Linked DNA regions of Macaca fascicularis. The protein of the gene in region 2 interacts with the protein of the main gene of each other region in a pairwise test. Links are inferred from orthologs where the notes say so. Each region holds a gene or a part of one and is shown on either strand. Other genes may lie near its edges.

What was found.
Region 1: the proteins of CRX (region 2) and LARP4 interact in binary tests that used the Homo sapiens proteins (3 or more experiments, as listed by UniProt). The two-hybrid records come from large-scale screens. The link is inferred for Macaca fascicularis from reciprocal best matches to the Homo sapiens genes CRX and LARP4.

The regions. Positions count from the first base shown.
Region 1 is NC_088385.1:57,240,830-57,250,637, reverse strand, and holds the start of LARP4 (la-related protein 4), read right to left. Parts: upstream 5,658-9,808; 5' UTR 5,531-5,657; coding exon 5,513-5,530; intron 5,139-5,512; exon of another isoform or gene 5,067-5,138; intron 1-5,066. UniProt on the Homo sapiens protein: RNA binding protein that binds to the poly-A tract of mRNA molecules. Associates with the 40S ribosomal subunit and with polysomes. Plays a role in the regulation of mRNA translation.
Region 2 is NC_088393.1:55,837,836-55,847,543, forward strand, and holds part of CRX (cone-rod homeobox protein), read left to right. Parts: intron 1-4,717; 5' UTR 4,718-4,752; coding exon 4,753-4,852; intron 4,853-6,580; coding exon 6,581-6,732; intron 6,733-9,708. UniProt on the Homo sapiens protein: Transcription factor that binds and transactivates the sequence 5'-TAATC[CA]-3' which is found upstream of several photoreceptor-specific genes, including the opsin genes.

The DNA.
Region 1 (9,808 bases), on a different chromosome or scaffold from region 2:
CACATGCCACCAGGCCTGGCTAATTTTTTAAATTTGTTTGCAGAGGTTGGGGGTGGGGGGGGTCTCACTTTGTTGCCCAGGCTGGTTTTGAACTACTGGGCTCAAGCTATCCTCCCACCTCAGCCTCCCAAAGTGTTGAGATTACAGGCATGAGCCACGTTATCCAACCTAAAAAACTTTTATTTAAAAGTTATTAAAGCATCCGAAGGCATATGAAACTTAACTGCTACCTAAGTAAGTAATTATAAGTATAGTTGGCCCTCCATATCCATGAGTTCCATATACATCAGTGGAGAAATCAATCACAGATCAAAAATACTCAGAAAAAAAAAATCGTTGCATTTGTACTGACCATGTAGAGACTTTTTTCTTATCACTCTATAAATACAATATAGCAACTATTTCCAAAGCATTTACATTGTAACAGATATTATAAATAATCGAGATGATTTAACATATACAGGAAGATGTGCATAGGTTATATGCAAATACTACGCCTTTTTATGTAAGACTTGAGCATCCAAGGTTTTTGGCATCTAAAGAGGGTCCTGGAACCAATTTCCCACAGATACCGAGGGACAACTGTCTTCATTTTCAGGGAAAAACTCAAACAGAGACAGAAACACAATTTTAGTAGTCACTGCATACCCACCCTTCCCAGCCTCTAGTTTTAATTTTTTTAAACAAAAATTTCAGCCTGAGCAAAAAAACACAACCATGTCTCTACAAAAAAATACCAAAAAAGAAAAAAATTAGCCAGGCATGGTGGTACATGCCTATGGTCCCAGCTACTTTGGAGGCTGAGGTGGGAGGATCACTTAAGCCAGGGAGGCGGAGGCTGCAGCAAACGAGACTCTGTCTCAAAAAAGAAAAAATTTAAAATTAAAAAAAACTTTAAAAGAGAGAAATGAAAAAAAAAATTTTAATTACAATCTGCCTCCTTAGGGCTCAAAAGTTTTAAGTAACTTGATAGCATTCAGATGAACGTAGTACAATGCAGTTTCAAACTTACAAAAAATTTGTTGTAAAATAATTTAAGAAGGGTCATGTCTGATGACTGTGAATCATCCAAACTTCTACCTCTTTCCAGAGAGGGACATTGTTTGTTTCTCCTTCAGAACAGAGATGATTAAAAAAAAAAAAAACAAAAAACAAACAACGAAAAAACAATAATCGGCTGGGTGCTGTAGCTCACGCCTGTAATCCCAGCACTCTAGGAGGCCGAGGAGGGCGGATCACTTGAGGTCAGCTGTTCGAGACCAGCCCTGCCAATATGGCAAAACCCATGTCTACTAAAAATAAAAAATAAAAAATTAGCCAGGCATGGTAGCGCATGCCTGAAGACCCAGCTACTAGGGAGGCTGAGGCAGAAGAACTGCTTGAACCCGCCGGGCACGGTCGCTCACGCCTGTAATCCCAGCACTTGGGGAGGCCGAGGTAGGCAAATCATGGGGTCAAGAGAGACCATCCTGGCCAACATGGTGAAACCCTATCTCTACCAAAAATACAAAAATTAGTTGGGCGTGGTGGCACGCGCCTGTAGTACCAGCTACTCGGGAGGCTAAAGCAGGAGGATCGCTTGAACCCAGGAGGTGGAGGTTGCAGTGAGCCCAGATCGCGCCACTGCACTCCAGCCTGGCAACAAAGAAAGACTCAGTCTCAAAAAAAAAAAAAAAAAAAAAAAAAAAAAGGACCTGCTTGATCCCAGGACACAGAGGTTTCTGAGATTGCGCCACTCTCTAGTCTGGGTGACAGAGAGAGACTCAGTCTCAAGCGGAAAAAAAATAAAACTAATAATCTACTGAAGTCAGTAGAGCGGGTCTTGCTCTGTCACCTGGCCTGGAATGCCATGGCAGAGTCACAACTCATTCCAGCTTTCACCTCCCATACTCAACCGAAACTCCTGCCTCAGCCTCCCGAGTAGCTGGGACTACAGGCGCGTGCCACCACATTGGGCCCAAGGCCAGGTTTTAAAAACTTGCATCTAAGTATTATTTACATAGGATTCCTTGTCTGCAATATATTCTACTCCAATATAAGTAGGTGGTTGATGAGTTCAAGCTTCCACGTTCACTAACTGTGTAAAAACTTAGGCAAGTTTAAATTCTCTGTGCCTTAGTTTCTTTTTTTTGAGACAGTCTCACTCTGTTGTCCAGGCTGGAATACAGTGGCACCATCTCAGCTCACTGCAACCTCTGCCTCCCAGGTTCAAGCGATTCTCCTACCTTAGCCTCCCATGTAGCTGGGATTACAGGTGTGTGCCACCACATCTGGCTAATTTTTGTATTTTTAGTAGAGATGGGGTTTCACCATGTTGGCCAGGCTGGTCTCAAACTCCTGACCTCAGGTGATCCGCCGCCCACCTCAGTCTTCCAAAGTGCTGGGATTACAGGCATAAGCCACTGTGCCTGGCTGCCTTAGTTTCCTTATCACTAAAATGGGGATACTAACACCTCATAGAGATATTGAGACTTAAGATGTACAGATATCTATATATACAAAAACATCAAACGTTCCTGACACAAAGTACAATACAAGTATGTACTACTACTGTTATTATTGTTATATTGCTATTATCTATTCTACTGATTCTAGTGGGATAGTTAAGCTGGAATCTCTCCAGAAAAATACACATTAGTAAACGGTATTGAACACAATTGCAGAGGACCCAGGGATCCCAGATTAATCCTGCCAAAGATGATCCACAAGCAACTTGGTTAGTAAAGCAGTTCTTAACCTGTTTTGTGACAAAGACCTCTTCAGTAGTCCAATTAATCTATGGATCCCTTCTCAGAGTTTTTTTAAATTTCTAAAATATATAGGATCACAAAGTAAACTAATTATATTGAAACACAGTTGTCAAAATATTTTAAAATGTCTAATATAGCAATACATTAAATAACAATATTTTTGACATATAGCAAGTAATGAGCATAAATATTTCAAGATATCTGCAAAAACTGTAATATATGTTAAAAAGTGATTTGTCTTGGTGACAAGGTCACAGACACTGTTGCTGCCATTAACATTTAAAGAATTTTCACTTCTTTTCCATTTAGATTTCAGTTAGAAACTAGTGAAAATAAACAATTTTTTTTCCCCAACCAAGCTCAGGTACTTACTTCCTCAATTCTATCCAAAAACCTAGATTCAGAACCTTTGACTTATGGGAAAGTGCAAAAATAATTTTGGAGCCAGAAATTTATGTTCTAGAAGCCAGACTTCAGACTTTAACCCCCACATTATTTACACTTGAATGACCTTAGATATCTAACTTCTGAGCTTTGGTTCTCTCACTGAGAATAATTCCTCTATCATGAGGTTACTGGGATCAAATACTAGTTAACAAAACATCAAATGACCAATATGTTGTTTTTCACTGATTTTAAAACCACATATTCAGCCCCAAATATTTAAAGACAGCTAATTTTCAATAAAACTCATATGAGAAAATGAAGAACGACATAGTGATTCACAAAGAAAATGATTAATGGAGATACAACTTTTAAATAATAGTTTGGCAGAGATATGGTAGAATTTGTCTAACCTGGGGAGTTGGACAGGCCTGAACTGCTAACATCCCGTCCATGATTTGACATCAGCAACACCTGGATCTAAATCCCAGTTACACTACTTTACTTTTACTAAGTAAAGTTACTTTAACTTCTGGGGCTCGGTTTTGTCATCTGTAGAATATTTTAAGTATTGCTTTAGAGACAGGAGAGGACCTAATTTAAACAATAAATGGGGCTGTTATTAAAACTTACATTTTAATAAAGCCAAAGGAATCAATTTGGAAGTCAAAAGTATATTGTGGAGCTCCCGTCAATATAAACTCCACAATCTTTCTTCCGCTCAGCAAAACACACACTTAAAACCTGTGGTATTTACATAGCATAACATTCCTAAAACAAAGTGGCCGGCAATGTCTTAAAATCCTATCTGATTTCTTATTCTGCCTAAGGAAAACAACAATGAGGATAGAAAACAGTAAACAGAATGAGTTCAGTAATTTTAAATCTTTTCATGATTTCCCCGGATGTTCCAATGAATGATTATTATTAATGTTAGATATACTCTAATGTAGCAGTCTTTTAAAACACTAAAGATGTCAAGCTTATCGGCGACACAATGTCAGTTAAACAGAAAAAAAACCCTAAAATCATTTATTTACTTTATGCTGGAACATTATGGATTAAGATTTTCCCACGGGGGGAGGGGGGAGGGATAGCATTAGGAGATATACCTAATGTAAATGACGAGTTAATGGGTGCAGCACACCAACATGGCACGTGTATACATATGTAACAAACCTGCACGTTGTGCACATGTACCCTAGAACTTAAAGTATAATTTTAAAAAAAAAGTCGAAAAATTAAAAAATAAAATAATAAAAATTTTCCCACAACCGGGAAAAAAAAAAATCTGCCATAGGCTGGCCCCGGCTCCTAGACCCATTATACAACCTGTAAATTCCTTCCCTCATTGAAAAGATTATTTTTATGGGCATAGTTAACAAACGCCAAGTTGCGAAGTTGCAGCTTTGCTGGTTTGACGTTTTCACAATGTAAGAACAATATGATCTGGAATCTACTCAAAGCATTAGCCAGGCAGTCAGCTGACGCTTACTGCACACAAGAGGACAGAATGAAGGGAAATTAAATTTCGTATTTCTGTAAGGCAGGTCTCCAACTCTATCTTGAAAACTAAATAGGCCAACAGCAGATGTTCTAGTTTAAGTAATAAAAGTATCTCATTGTTCAAGTAACATTACAAACACCGGCTTTTCCCGGAATAAGTTTCTCTCCTTCTTGGAATTTTCCTTGTAAAGGGCTTTTAATCGGTTCATAGAACCAACCCTTCATCACGCAGTTGCTGCTTGAGTAACTTTTACAAAAGGTCAAAGCGGTGCCTTTCAAGGCTTCCAAACCCTACTGGCTTCTCCTCGATTCAAAGTAACTCGCTTTCACCCACAGAACGTTCCAGAGACCTAGGGACGGGGCCCGGGCAGAATTTGGTGGAGGTTGCTCAAAGAACTTTTTCAATTTTCTTTTCAAAACACTTACCGCATTTCACCTTCCTCCATCCGTGGCCCCACATGTTGCTCGCCTCCCTCCCAGAGGGCCCCGCGAGGCCGCGCTCGGCCCCCGGAACGCGCCCACCTGATTACCCTCTCCTCTCAGACTCCGCCCCCGAACCCCCCAATGCCGTCTCCTTTAGGAGGTCCATATGGGACACTTTACCCCTCCTCTGAACCTCACGCCACACCAGACCAGCCCTCCGTTCTTCTCCTTCAATTCTTCTCCATTACGGGCATCACCTCCCATAGCTTCCTAGAGTGTTGTGAGCGCGCAGAGGGAAGCTGCAGGCCTGCTCGGCCCAGGTGCTGTGTCAGCCTATCTGCCGGTTCCGCGGCGTGTACGGCCCGGAAAGTCACATGGCGGTGGGACCGGCCGGCACCTCTACACTCCTGCTCTCCTAAGAGCAGGACGAGACTAGCAAATCCACTCACCTCCACGAAAAGCAACATGTCGTCCTCTGCTCGGCCCAATCGTTCCCGCCGCCGCAACTCCAACTGGCTCACAGGCCCGCGCCCCACTTGCTAGGATAAGGACACACACTCGCCTTGCCCCTCCACCCGGCAGTGGACCCGGCTCCTCCCCCGCCGTCAGCGGCTGCGGCCTGACCCGCCCAGTCCCACCTCCCTTGAAACAACAACTGCTTCCGGGTCTAGGGAAAAATTGTTTCCGGCAGAAAAGAGTCGTCGACGCGCTCAACTTTTGCACCATCTTTTCTAGCAACAGTGTGGGATGTACTATCATCTGTCGCGGGGGGGACGATTAGCAGGAGATGCCATTCTGGGGCACGGGGATGTGTAAAAATCTTAATGACACATTTTATCACTTGTCAGATAGCTACACAGCACTGATAATTCCGCAGTTTTCGTAGTTCACAATCTAGATTTGATTTTTAAAGCCGACCTTGGCGACGTGTGCTGAACAAACGTCCAACCCTGCCGAAAAGTGGTGGCTCACAGAAGAAAAGTAGACAAGAAAAAAAAAAGCTATAAAAAGCTATGATAGTAGTAAATACGTTAATAGCAGCTACTGTATATTAAATGCTTACATTGTGCTTGGCACTATACTGAGCATTTTATGTTAATTGATCTTAAAACAATTTTATGCAATAAATAATATTATTATCATCCCCATTTTACAGTTGAAGGAGCCCTCTAGGAGGTTGGGTTTCGCTTTGACACACCTTTAAAGAACTTTGCCCTGGGCTCATTTGAATTAGTTACCCATATCTCCACTTAATATACTAGTAACAACGCTTAATCTGTATAGTCTCTTCTTTGATATTCTGTCATTAATTCAAAAGAAATACAATAAAAACAAATTTTTTAAATTATCTATAATATTTGTTAGATGGTCCAAATTCCTTATCTTTAGCAATATGTCCCTCCCTTACCACTCCCACGTCTACGTCCTAGTTCAAACACTCATCTTTTGAAATAATCATGTATTGGCTGGGAGGGGTGGCTCACACCTACAATCCCAGCACTTTGGAAGGCTGAGGCGGACGGATCACTTGAGGTCAGGAGTTCAAGACCAGCCTGGCCAACATGGTAAAACCCCGTCTCTACTAAAAATACAAAAATTAGCCGGGTGTGATGGTGCACACCTGTAATCCCGGCTACTCCGGAGGCTGAGGCAGAATTGCTTGAACCCAGGAGGCAGAGATAACAGTGAACCGACATTGCGCCACTGCACTCCAGCCTGGGCAACTGAGTGAGACTCTGTCTCAAAAATAATAATCATTTGGTAATGAATAAAAATTGGCCGGGCGCCGTGGCTCATGCCTGTAATCCTAGCACTTTGGGAGGCCGAGGCGGGTGGATTGCCTTAGGTCAGGAGTTTGAGACCAGCCTGGGCAACACGGTGAAACCCCATCTCTAGTAAAATACAAAAAATCAGCCAGCCATGGCAGTGTGTGCCTGTAGTCCCAGCTACGTGGGAGGCTGAAGCAGGAGAATTGCTAGAACCCAGGAGGCAGAGGTTGCAGTGAGCCAAGATCACGGCACTGCACTCAAGCCTGGGTGACAGAGTGCGACTCTGTCTCTAAAAAATAATAATAATAAATAAATAAATATGAAATAATCATGTCTTGATCTTTTCCAATGGATTTTTCCATTATATTATTTTAAAAATCTTCCTCAAGTAAAGGTCTCATTTTCACCAAACCACTGTTAACTTGATTTCAAGACTTTGCCATTCTGATCTCATGAAATCTTCCTTGCTTTGCCGCAAATGGAATCTCCTCAGATACCACATTAATTCCACCACCAAATTGCTGATAGCTGTTATCTCAGACCCACCCTAATCTGGTTCTCGGTAAACTCCTGTTAGGTTATCTCAGTGATTAAACCAATCTCCTTACTTTCCCCCTGAGATGCAAACTCATTAGCACTCACCTCCAAAGCCATGGCTCAAGGTGTAGTCCCTATCTGGATTGCCTCCATTTGTCAATCAATCTTCTCTCTCCATAAGGTTTTCTCAAAGACTCTACTCCTATAGATCTCTTCCTCGTGTCCCTTATTAGCACTTGATTATTATATTCTATCTTAAATCTTTGCTTTTTCTTTTTTGTTTTAGTTTCTTTACAGGAACCCTATCATATATTCTTCAGTGTAGGATAATGTAAGCAGCATAGTGTTTCAACAAATGCTTGTCGAATAGAAAGGGAAGCAGGATTTAAAAATTGACTTTAAGAAGCCTTCGTGGTCGGGTGTGGTGGCTCATGCCTGTAATCCCAGCACTTTGGGAGGCTGAAGAGGGTAGATCACGAGGTCAGGAGATCAAGACGAGCCTGGCTAACACGGTGAAACTCCGTCTCTACTAAAAATACAAAAAATTAGCCAGGTGCCTGTAATCCCAGATACGCGGGAGGCTGAGGCAGGACAATGGCGTGAACCAGAGAAGCGGAGCTTGTAGTGAGCCTTGATCGTGATACTGCACTCCAGCCTGGGCAACAGAGTGAGATTCTGTCTCAAAGAAAAGCCTTCATGTCTAGTTGCTGATTGATGAATTCCATGCTGCATAAAAGATGCAAGTGAGAGAGAAAGCAATAATGCAAAATTAGTTTAGCTGACAACTAAACTTTGGGAGGCTGAGGTGAGTGGATCACTTGAGGAGTTTGAGACCAGCCTGGCCAACACAGTGAAACCCCATCTCTACCAAAAATATAAAAAATTAGCCAGGTATAGGCTGGGCACAGTGGCTCACGCCTGTAATCCCAGCACTTTGGGAGGCCGAGGCGGGCGGATCACAAGGTCAGGAGATCGAGACCATCCTGACTAACACGGTGAAACCCCATCTCTACTAAAAAATACAAAAAAAATTAGCCGAGCATAGTGGTGGGCACCTGTAGTCCCAGCTACTCGGGAGGCTGAGGCAGGAGAATGGCGTGAACCCAGGAGGCAGAGCTTGCAGTGAGCCGAGATTGCACCACTGCACTCCAGCCTGGGCCACAGGCGAGACTCCATCTCACATTAAAAAAAAAAAAAAATTAGCCAGGTGTGGTGGCGCACGCCTGTAATCCCAGCTACACAGAAGGCTGAGGTAGGAGAATCACTTGAACCTGGGAGGCAGAGGTTGCAGTGAGCTGAGATCGCGCTACTACACTCCAGCCTGGACAATAGAGTGAGACTCTGTCTCAAAAAAAAAAAAAAAGAAAGAAAGAAAGAAAAAATATATATATACACTTGTAATAAAACTATGTAAAAGTAGACTCAAATATGTAAAATTCATGATTGTCATTTCATCTGGAATGGGACAGTGGGGAAGGAAGGAACCAGGGGTTGGGAGACATCAAAGAGGACTTCGACCTTCTCTAATGCTTTTTTTAATTTAAAAAATATCTAAAGCAAATATTAAACAAAAATTAGCCAGGTGTGGTGGCGCGTGCCTGTAATTCCAGCTGAGGAATCTGAGAATCTGGGAGGTTGAGGCACAAGAATCTCTTGAACCTGGGAGGCAGAGGTTGCAGTGAACCGAGATCATGACACTGTGCTCCAGCCTGGGTAATAAAGTGAGACTCTGTCTCGAAAAAAAAAAAGTATAAAGAGTAAGCAGTGCAAAGAGTGTGATCCTCATCCAAATAATATCATCCAAGTTACTTCATCCAAATGATATCATCCAAGTTACTACATGTCTAGGAAAAGTTAAGGGGCAGCTGAGGAAGTAGTTGTAACCCTTATTCCATTACAGTGATATTTGACGCACCTAGATTTTTTTTTTTTTTTTTTCTGAGACAGTTTCACTCTTGTTGCCCAGGCTGGAGTGCAATGACACAATCTCGGCTCACCACAACCTCTGCCTCCCAGGTTCAAGTGATTCTCCTGCCTCAGCCTCCTGAGTAGCTGGGACTACAGGCATGTGCCACCTCGCCTGGCTGATTTTGTATTTTGTTTTTTAGTAGAGACAGGAGTTTCTCCATGTTGGTCAGGCTGGTCTCGAACTCCGACCTCTGGTGATCCGCCTGCCTCGGCCTCCCAAAGTGCTGGGATTACAGGCGTGAGCCACTGTGCCCAGCCAACATATCTAGATTTTAAGGTTATTTAAGCAGGGCTATATCTTCTATTTATTTTAGCATTTCTATTGTCTATTATTTCCTACCCTCCTTCCCCCCTTCACCCTTCTACCATGGCAGCATATAGAATGACCAGTTCTCTGCACATAGTAAGCACTCTTTACATGTTTGATCAATGATAATGTCACAATGGGTCTATTGTGACATCAACAGGACT
Region 2 (9,708 bases):
AGAGACGGGGTTTCACCATGTTAGCCAGGATGGTCTTGATCTCCTGACCTCGTGATCCGCCTGCCTTGACCTCCCAAAGTGCTGGGATTACAGGCGTGAGCCACCGCGACCGGCAACGCCATCCATTTTTAATTCTTTTTCTTACGTTTCAAATATTTATTGGGGGTGCTGGGGACATGGCAGGAACCGAGATATTCCCAGTCCCTGAACTCAGGTAACTGATAGAATTTGAGGGAGAGAGATAGATAAACAAACATGTAAATATGTCATTTAATACAAGCTGTGTCTTGAAGAAAAGGAGGTAGGGAGTGTGTGTGTGTGTGTGTGTGTGTGTGTGTAAAATCCAGTTCAGGGGCGTAGGCTGGTTTCTCTGGGGAAAGTAGCTGAGCTGAGACCTGGAGGAGAAGGGGTTAGCTGGTGAGAGGGGCTTTGGGGTGGGGGAGAGGCGTTCCTAGCCCAGGAAACGGCTTATGTAAATAGCTGTGGAGGCTGAGAGGTTTTCTGAGGCCATCCTAATGAGGGCAATGAGGAACTCTCAGAGGGTTTCATGTTCTGTTTGCTTTTTTGAAGATTTCATTGTTGTTTTTGCTTTTGACAAAACCACACACACACATGAATGCACACACGCACAATTAAAAAGGAATCCAAACTATAGAAACAAGATATGGCTTTAGCACTCCTTCCCAGAGGCAGTCACTGGTACCAGTAGCTTGCTTCCTTCCTGGGAATTTTCTATGCACATGCAAGTGTATATTCTACACATGAGTAAAGTCAATGCCTCATTTTATTAATTAATTAATAATGATAATACTTATTATTTTTGAGATGGAGTCTCACTCTGCCACCCAGGCTGGAGTGCACTGGCACAATCTCGGCTCACTGCAAACTCCACCTCCCAGGTTCCAGAGGGTCTCCTGCCTCAGCTTCCCAAGTAGCTGGGATTACAGGCATGCACCACCATGCCTGGCTAATTTTTATGTTTTAATTTTATTTTTATTTTTAAATTTATGTTATTATTATTACTTTTTTTTTGAGATGGAGTTTCGCTCTTGTTGCCCAGGCTGGAGTGCAATGGCGGGATCTCGGCTCACTGCAACCTCTGCCTCCCGGGTTCAAGCGATTCTCCTGCCTCAGCCTCTGGAGTAGCTGGGATTACAGGCGCCCACCACCATGCCCGCCTAATTTTGTATTTTTAGTAGAGACAGGGTTTTGCCATGTTGACCAGGCTGGTCTCGAACTCTTTTTTTTTTTTTTTTAATTAATGTCATTAACTTTAATAAAGACTCTTAAAATGTCAAAACAAAACCCCCAAATAGAGATGGATCAGACGGTTCATGCATAGGTTTGCTGTTCACTGATATATCATTAATAAATGTTCCATTTCACTCATTTATGGTAAGTTAAAGGAAAATATCTTATAATTTTAAAGGCATACTTATTTTAAAATAAAGTATCAAGAATAATTACATACTTTTCTTTAGTGCAATGAGATGATAGCCTGAAATGTTAATCTGTGCTTTATTCCTTGGTCTTTCTTGTGACTTCCTGCCATGTGCTCCTTAGTCAGACAGCAGGGAAGGTAGTACCAACAGTTTTCTTTTTTGTTGTTGTTGTTTTTTTTGTTTTTTTTTTTTGTTTTTTTTTGTTTTTTTTATTATTTTTCTTTTTTTAAAAATTTATTTATTATTATTATACTTTAAGTTGTAGGGTACATGTGCATAACGTGCAGGTTTGTTACATATGTATACTTGTGCCATGTTGGTGTGCTGCACCCATCAACTTGTCATTTACATCAGGTATAACTCCCAATGCAATCCCTCCCCCCTCCCCCCTCCCCATGACAGGCCCCTGTGTGTGATGTTCCCCTTCCTGAGTCCAAGTGATCTCATTGTTCAGTTCCCACCTATGAGTGAGAACATGCGGTGTTTGGTTTTCTGTTCTTGTGATAGATTGCTAAGAATGATGGTTTCCAGCTGCATCCATGTCCCTACAGTTTTTTGTATTTTTTAGTAGAGACGGGGTTTCACTGTGTTAGCCAGGATGGTCTCGATCTCCTGACCTCGTGATCCACCCGTCTCGGCCTCCCAAAGTGCTGGGATTACAGGCTTGAGCCACCGCGCCCGGCCTGTTTTTTTTTTTTTTGAGATGAAGTCTCACTCTTGTCCCCCAGGCTGGAGTGCAGTGGCACGATCTCTGCTCACTGCAACTTCCGCCTCCTGGGCTCAAGCGATTCTCCTGCCTCAGCCTCCTGAGTAGCTGGGATTGCAGACACCTGCCACCATGCCCGGCTAATTTTTGTATTTTTAGTAGAGACGGGGTTTCACCATGTTGGCCAGGTTAGTCTCGAACTCCCGACCTCAGGTGATCCGGCCACCTTGGCCTCCCAAAATTCTGGGATTAGAGGCATGAGCCGCTGCGCCCGGCCCCTAGAACAATTTGTTAAAACCGTATACTAGAGATCTTTTAAAATCAGTTCAGAGAGCAGCCTTATGCTTTTTTTTTTTTTTTTTTTTTTTTTGAGACAGAGTCTTGCTCTGTCACCCAGGCTGGAGTACAGTGGCGCGATCTTGGCTTACTGCAACTTTTGCCTCCCGGGTTCAAGTGATTCTCCTGCCTCAGCCTCCTGAGTAGCTGGGATTACAGTCATGTGCCACCACGCCCAGCTTTTTTTGTATTTTCAGTAGAGACGGGGTTTCACCATGTTGGCCAGGCTGGTCTCGAGCTCCTGACCTTCGGTGATCCGCCCGCCTTGGCCTCCCAAAGTGCTGAGATTACAGGCGTGAACCACTGTGCCCAGGCTTACTTTAAAAATAAAAAATTAATTTTTTGTAGAGACAGGAGAGTTTCGCTATGTTGCCACCTGAACATAAATGCTATTTTCTTTTTCTTTTCTTTTTTTTGAGACGGAGTCTGTAGCCCAGGCTAGGTTGTGGTGGCACCATCTTGGCTCGCTACAATCTCTGCCTCCTGGGTTCAAGCGATTCTCCTGCCTCAGCCTCCCAAGTAGCTGGTATTATAGGCGTGCACCACCAGGCCCGGCTAATTTTTGTATTTTTAGTAAAGACGGGGTTTCACCATGTTGACCAGGCTAATCTCAAACTCCTGACCTCAAGTGATCTGCCTGCCTTGGTGTTCCAAAGTGCTGGGATTACAGGTGTGAGCCACTGCGCCTGGCCCATAAATGCGATTTTCATTCCCATTTTCCAACAAGGCGACTGAGGTATACATTGAAGGTGAATTACTAGGAGAAAAGAAAGATGGCATTTTAATTCGATAAGTTTGTTGCAACCTGTACTGCTTGCTACCTACCTGCCATGGGAGTGCGTCTTTCCCCACACTGACCCCAGTGCCGGAAGTTATCAACCTCTTTCATCTTTGCCAATCTGATAGGTCAAAAGTGATCGTGGAAGATCCACACTCACTGTTTTTTTTTTTTTTCTTTTCAGAGATGGGGGTCTCACTATGTTGCCCAGGCTGGTTTTGAACTTCTGGGCTCAAGTGATTCTCCTGCCTTGACCTCCCAAAGTGCTGGGATTGCAGGTGTGAGATGCCTTTCTTGGTCCTTACTGTAGTTTGTTGTTGTTGTTGTTGTTGTTGCTGTTTTGTTTTGTTTTGAGACAGAGTCTTGCTCTGTTGCCCAGGCTGGAGGGCGGTGGTGCCATCTCGGCCCACTGCAACCTCCGCCTCCCGGGTTCCAGCGATTCTCCTGCCTTAGTCTCCCGAGTAGCTGGGATTACAGGCGTGGGCCACCACGCCTGGCTAATTTTTGCATTTTTAATACAGACAGGATTTCACCACATTGGTCAGGCTGGTCTTGAACTCCTGACCTCAGGTGATCCGCCCATCTCAGCCTCCCAAAGTGCTGGGATTACAGGCATGAGCCACCTTGCCTGGCCTTTTTTAATGCCACTCTCCCTTAGGGTGACCAACCAATCCAGTTTGGCTGGGACCATTCTGGTTCTAGCCTGAAAGTCCTATGTTCCAAGATACAGCCACCTCTCCTCCATTCTGGGCAAAGAGGGATGGCTGGTCAACCTGCAGTCCTTGGTTATAAGTGAGGCTGAGCGTGTTTGCCCATGGTCACAGAAAGAAGGGATCTTGGATGAGGAAGTGTTACGGGATCAGATTGGTTTTTTTTTTTTCTTAGAGTCTTGCTGTGTCACCCAGGCTGGAGTACAGTGGCCTGAACACAGGTCACTGCAGGCCTAAACTCCTGGGCTCAAGTGATCCTCCCACCTCAGCCTCCTGGGTAACTGGGATTACAGGCATGCATCACCACACCCAGTTAACTTTTTAAAAAACACTTTTTTTTTTTTTTTTTTGGAGACAGGGTCTTGCTATATTGCCCAGGCTGGTCTCAAACTCCTGAGCTCAAGTGATCCTCCCGCCTTGGCCTCCCAAAGTGCTGGGACTACAGATGTGAGACATTGTGCCCAGCCAGGATGAGATTGTTTTAGAGGGTAGAGTAGGAATAAGAGCTCGCACTTATGAGGCGCGTCATCACTTCAGCTCTCTGCTTTGCAGAGTCTCAAGAAAGCTCTGAGAACCTTAAGCAGAGGCCATTTTACACGTGAGGACACAGAGGTACGGAGGTGAGATAAATGGCCAAGGTCACGTACCTAAGAGGAGACCAAGGCAGGATTTGAATCTCAGCCTGCTTGTCACCCCATGGTGAGTAACTGGTAAGTGAGTGAGCATCCCTCCTCTTCTCTTGCAGGCCCCCTGACTTGGGCCTCAGCGTCCCCGAAGATCATGATGGCGTATATGAACCCGGGGCCTCACTATTCTGTCAACGCCTTGGCCCTAAGTGGCCCCAGCGTGGATCTGATGCACCAGGCTGTGCCCTACCCAAGTGAGTACAGTCGTTTCTCTCGGCACCCCAGGCTGGCCTCACCTCTTAGAGGACCTCTGGGGTCCCTCTGCCCCAGGAAAAAAGCAGTCACAGGGGCGACTTCAGGGCCATATACCAGCCCTCTGGGTTCATCTGAAATGCATGTCACTTAGAAAAACATGTGCAGTCCTAGAAATTCAGGACAGAGGTTCCTTTTGGGGTGGGGAAGAGGAGATGTAATTTGGAAGGGGAATCAAGAGGAATTTTCATCTGTTAGCAAAACTTTATTATTTATTTATTTTTCAGAGATAGGGTCTCGCACTCTGTCGCCCAGGCTGGAGTGCGGTGGTGACGGTCACGGCTCACTGCAGCCTCAAACTCCTGGGTTTAAGCGATCCTCCCACCTTAGCATCCTGAGTAGCTGGGACTGCAGGTGTGAGCCATTGTGCCTAGGCAGCAAAGCTTTGTTTATTTTATTTTATTTTTGAGATAGGGTCTCATTCTGTTGTCCACTCTGAAGTGCAATGGTGCAATCATGGCTCACTGCAGCCTTGAACTCCTGGGCTCAAGCGATCCTCTTGCCTCGGCCTCCCAAATAGCTAGGATTACAGGTGCACGCTACCATGCCTGGCTAACTTTTTAAAGTTTTTGTAGATTGTGCAGGATCTGGATTATACAAAACATAGAAAAAATTAATTTTTTTTTTTTTGTAGAGATTGGGTCTCCCTATGTTGCCCAGGCTGATCTCAAACTCCTGGGTTCAAATAATTCACCTGACTCAGCCTCCCAAAGTGTTGGGCTTACAGGCATGAGCCACTGCACCTGGCCTGCAAAGCCTTATTTATTTATTTATTTATTTTGAGATGGAGTTTAGACGGACTTTCACTCCTGCCCAGGCTGGAGTGCAATGGTGCAATATTGGCTCACTGCAACTTCCGCCTCCCAGGTTCAAGTGACTCTCCTGCCTCAGCCTCCCAAGTAGCTGGGATTATAGGCACATGCCACCATGCCCAGCTAATTTTCATAAAGCCTTATTTTTAAGAGAAGTGAGCACTCAGTTATTTGTAGCATTATTCTTTAGCTCTTGTTTTTGTTTTTGTTTTTTGCATTACGTTGAGCGGTGTGGACTTGCTACTTTCTTTTTTTTTTTGAGACTGAACCTCGTTCTGTCACCAGGCTGGAGTGCAGTGGCGTAATCTCAGCTCACTGCAACCTCTGCCTTCTGGGTTCAAGCGATCCTCCTGCCTCAGCCTCCCGAGTAGCTGGGAGCCACCACGCCCGGCTAATTTTTTGTATTTTTAGTAGAGACAAGGGTTCACCATGTTGGCCAGGCTGGTTCTCGATCTCTTGACTTTGTGATCTGCCCGCCTCAGCCTCCCAAAGTGCTGGGATTACATGCGTGAGCCACCGCACCCAGCCCAGACTTGCTGCTTTTATAGGCTAGAAATGGTTGAATGTCAGCGATGTCATGCTTCAACTAAATATGTCTTAGTGCATGAGAAAGCTTAGAAGAGGGAAAACGACTCACATACCTCCTCATAGAGTTAAAGCCAATTCCCCTTGGGGTCAGGCAGGATTCACAGAGTGCCAGGCACAGAGGAAGGCGTAGAAGGGCAGGGAATGTGCATTCCATCCTTAGTTTAGGCAGATGGCAACCGGGATGGAATTCTTGGCATCCCACCCAGCCTCAGGGCCTCACATCAGCCCATGGTGGATGACCTGAGGGTCCTGTTTCCCTTCCCACCCCAGGCGCCCCCAGGAAGCAGCGGCGGGAGCGGACCACCTTCACCCGGAGCCAACTGGAGGAGCTGGAGGCACTGTTTGCCAAGACCCAGTACCCAGACGTCTATGCCCGCGAGGAGGTGGCTCTGAAGATCAATCTGCCCGAGTCCAGGGTTCAGGTGGGGTGGAGGGTCCCTGGACCCCTCCCGACCCTTCCTGTGACCTTCCAGGGGCCTCCCTGGAACTCAGAGTGATGGGAGGAGGGAGCGATCACAGAGTGACAGCCAAAGTTATCAGGGAGACAATAATTCCTCTCCCCACCATACCACTGACCGCCTCTTAAGGCTCTCATCGCCCCTCGCTCCTCTCCAGCCGCGCCGGGCACTGACCTGCCTGCCAAGCACCCTCCTGCCTCGGGCCTTTGCACTAAGTTTCCTCTATCTGGAATCCTTATTTTCCAGATAACCACACAGCAGGCCCCTTGTTCGAGTCTTTGTTTTTCTATCAGTGAGACCCATGCTGAACACAGCATTTAACATTGCAGTATTTCCCCAAGACCCTGACTCTACTGCTGCCCACTATCCCGCTCAATCGTTTCCTCCACAGTGTCTGTCGCCCTCTGAGATACCATACAGTTTACGTGTGTTTGTATCTATCGCCCTCTGAGATACCATACAGTTGCATATGTTTGTAGGCTGCAGGTATGATGTTACGTATATGTGCCTACACACATGTGTATGATTGGAAGGATAAATGAAGTATGTGTGTTTATGTGATTGTATGTATGTATGATTAGATACATTAGTGCATAGCTATGTATGATGTTATGTGTGTACAATGTATGTGCCTATAATTGTATATTTGTATGTTCATATGATCATACGTTCATACAGTTTATGTAAGGTATCTCAGAGTCCGTTTATTTAGACTCTGTCTCTCCCAACTAGAATGTCAATTCCACTGATGGACCCTCAAGAGTAGCAGAAGATGGTTAATGCATGTTTGTTCATTGACTGAATAGACGGATGGATGGATGGGTGGGTGGATGCAGAGATGAATGTGTATGTGTGACTGTATATGTGTGTGTGCATGTATGACTGGAAGCACGGATGAGTGTATGTATGTGCATCTATGAGTGTCTGTGTGTATGATGGACGGATACATTTATATATATGTGTTTGTATGAATGCATGTAGGTATGATTAGATAGATGACGAATGTATGCACACATGATATATGTATACATGATGTATGTACACATGTACAATTGTATGTCTACATGCATGCATGCATGATTGGATGGATGGATGGGTGTATTTATTTATTTATTTGAAACAGAGTCTCACTCTGTCGCCCAGGCTGGAATGGCACAATCTCGGCTCACTGCAACCTCCGCCTCCTGGCTTCAAGCAATTCTCCTGCCTCAGCCTCCTGCGTAGCTGGAATTACAGGCACGCACCACCATACCGGGCTAATTTTTGTATTTTAATAGAGACAGGATTTCACCATGTTGGTCAGGCTGGTGTCGAACTCCTGACCTCATGATCCACCTGCTTCGGACTCCCAAAGTGCTGGGATTACAGATGTGAGCCACCGTGTCCGGCTGGATTGGTGTATTTATGTATATATGAGTGTATGCAGGTGTATGTGATTGGACAGATAAATAAAATGTGTGTGTTTGTGTGATTAGACATAGGTATGATTGGATAAATTAATGTGTATATGTGTACGATGTATGTGTATATGTGTACGATGTATGTGTGTATGATGTATGTGTGTATAATTGTATATTTGTATGCTTGTATAATCAGATGCATGGATGAATGTTCATATGATGTATGTATGATTAGATAGATCCATTAATGTGTGTATGATGTATGTGTGTATGATGTATGTACATATAATTATATGTATAAGACGAATGGATGAATCTACATATGATGTACATGTACAATTGTATGTATCATCAGATGGATAAGTGTATGTCTGATGTATGTATGATCAGATGGACTGGTGAATGTTTGTACAACATATACATGTGTGAGGTATATATGTATGATCAGATGGATGTCTACATAATGTATGTGTGTATGGTGTATGTATGTATAATTGTATGCATGTATGTTTGTATGCTGCAGGTATGATGTTACGTATATGTGCATATACACATGTGTATGATTGGAAGGATAAATGAAATATGTGTGTTTGTGTGATTGTATGTATGTATGGTTAGATTAGTGCATAGTTATGTATGATGTTATGTGTGTACAATGTATGTGCCTATAATTGGATATTTGTATGTTCATATGACCAGATGGATGAATACGTGTATGAAGTATGTATGATCAGATAGATGGATAAATGTATGCATGATGCATGCATGTATAGTGCATGCCTGTATAATTGTATGTGTGTATGTTTGTATTAGATGGATGGATGAATGCCTGTAGGGTATGATGTATGTATGCATGCATGCATGATTGGATGAATGGATGGGTTTATTTATGTATATATGAGTGTATGCATGTATATATAATTAGATGGATAAATGAAATATGTGTTTGTATGATCGTATGTATGGATTAATGTGTATATATGTATGATGTATGTGTGTATGATGTATGTGTGTACAATGTATGTATGTATAATTGTATATCTGTATGATCAGATGGATGGATGAATATGTGTATGATGTATGTATGTATGATCAGATGGCTCCATTAATGCATGTATGATGTATGTGTGTATAATGTATGTATGTACACTTGCATGTATGATCAGATGGACCAGGGAATGTATATATGATGTATATGTATATGATGTATGTATGTATGATCAGATAGATGGGTAAATGTAGGCATGACGCATCTGTGTATGGTGTATTTATGTATAATTGTACATGTGTGTGTTTGTATTAGATGGATGAATATGTGTATGATGTATGTATGATCATGTAGATGGGCAAATGTAGGCATGATGTATGTGCGTATGGTGTATGTATGTATAACTGTATGTGTGCATGTTTGTATTAGATGGGTGGATGAATATGTATATGGTGTATGTATGTATGATCAGATGGCTCCATTAATGCATGTATGACGTATGTGTGTATGATGTATGTATGTACACTTGCATGTATGATCAGATGGACCAGG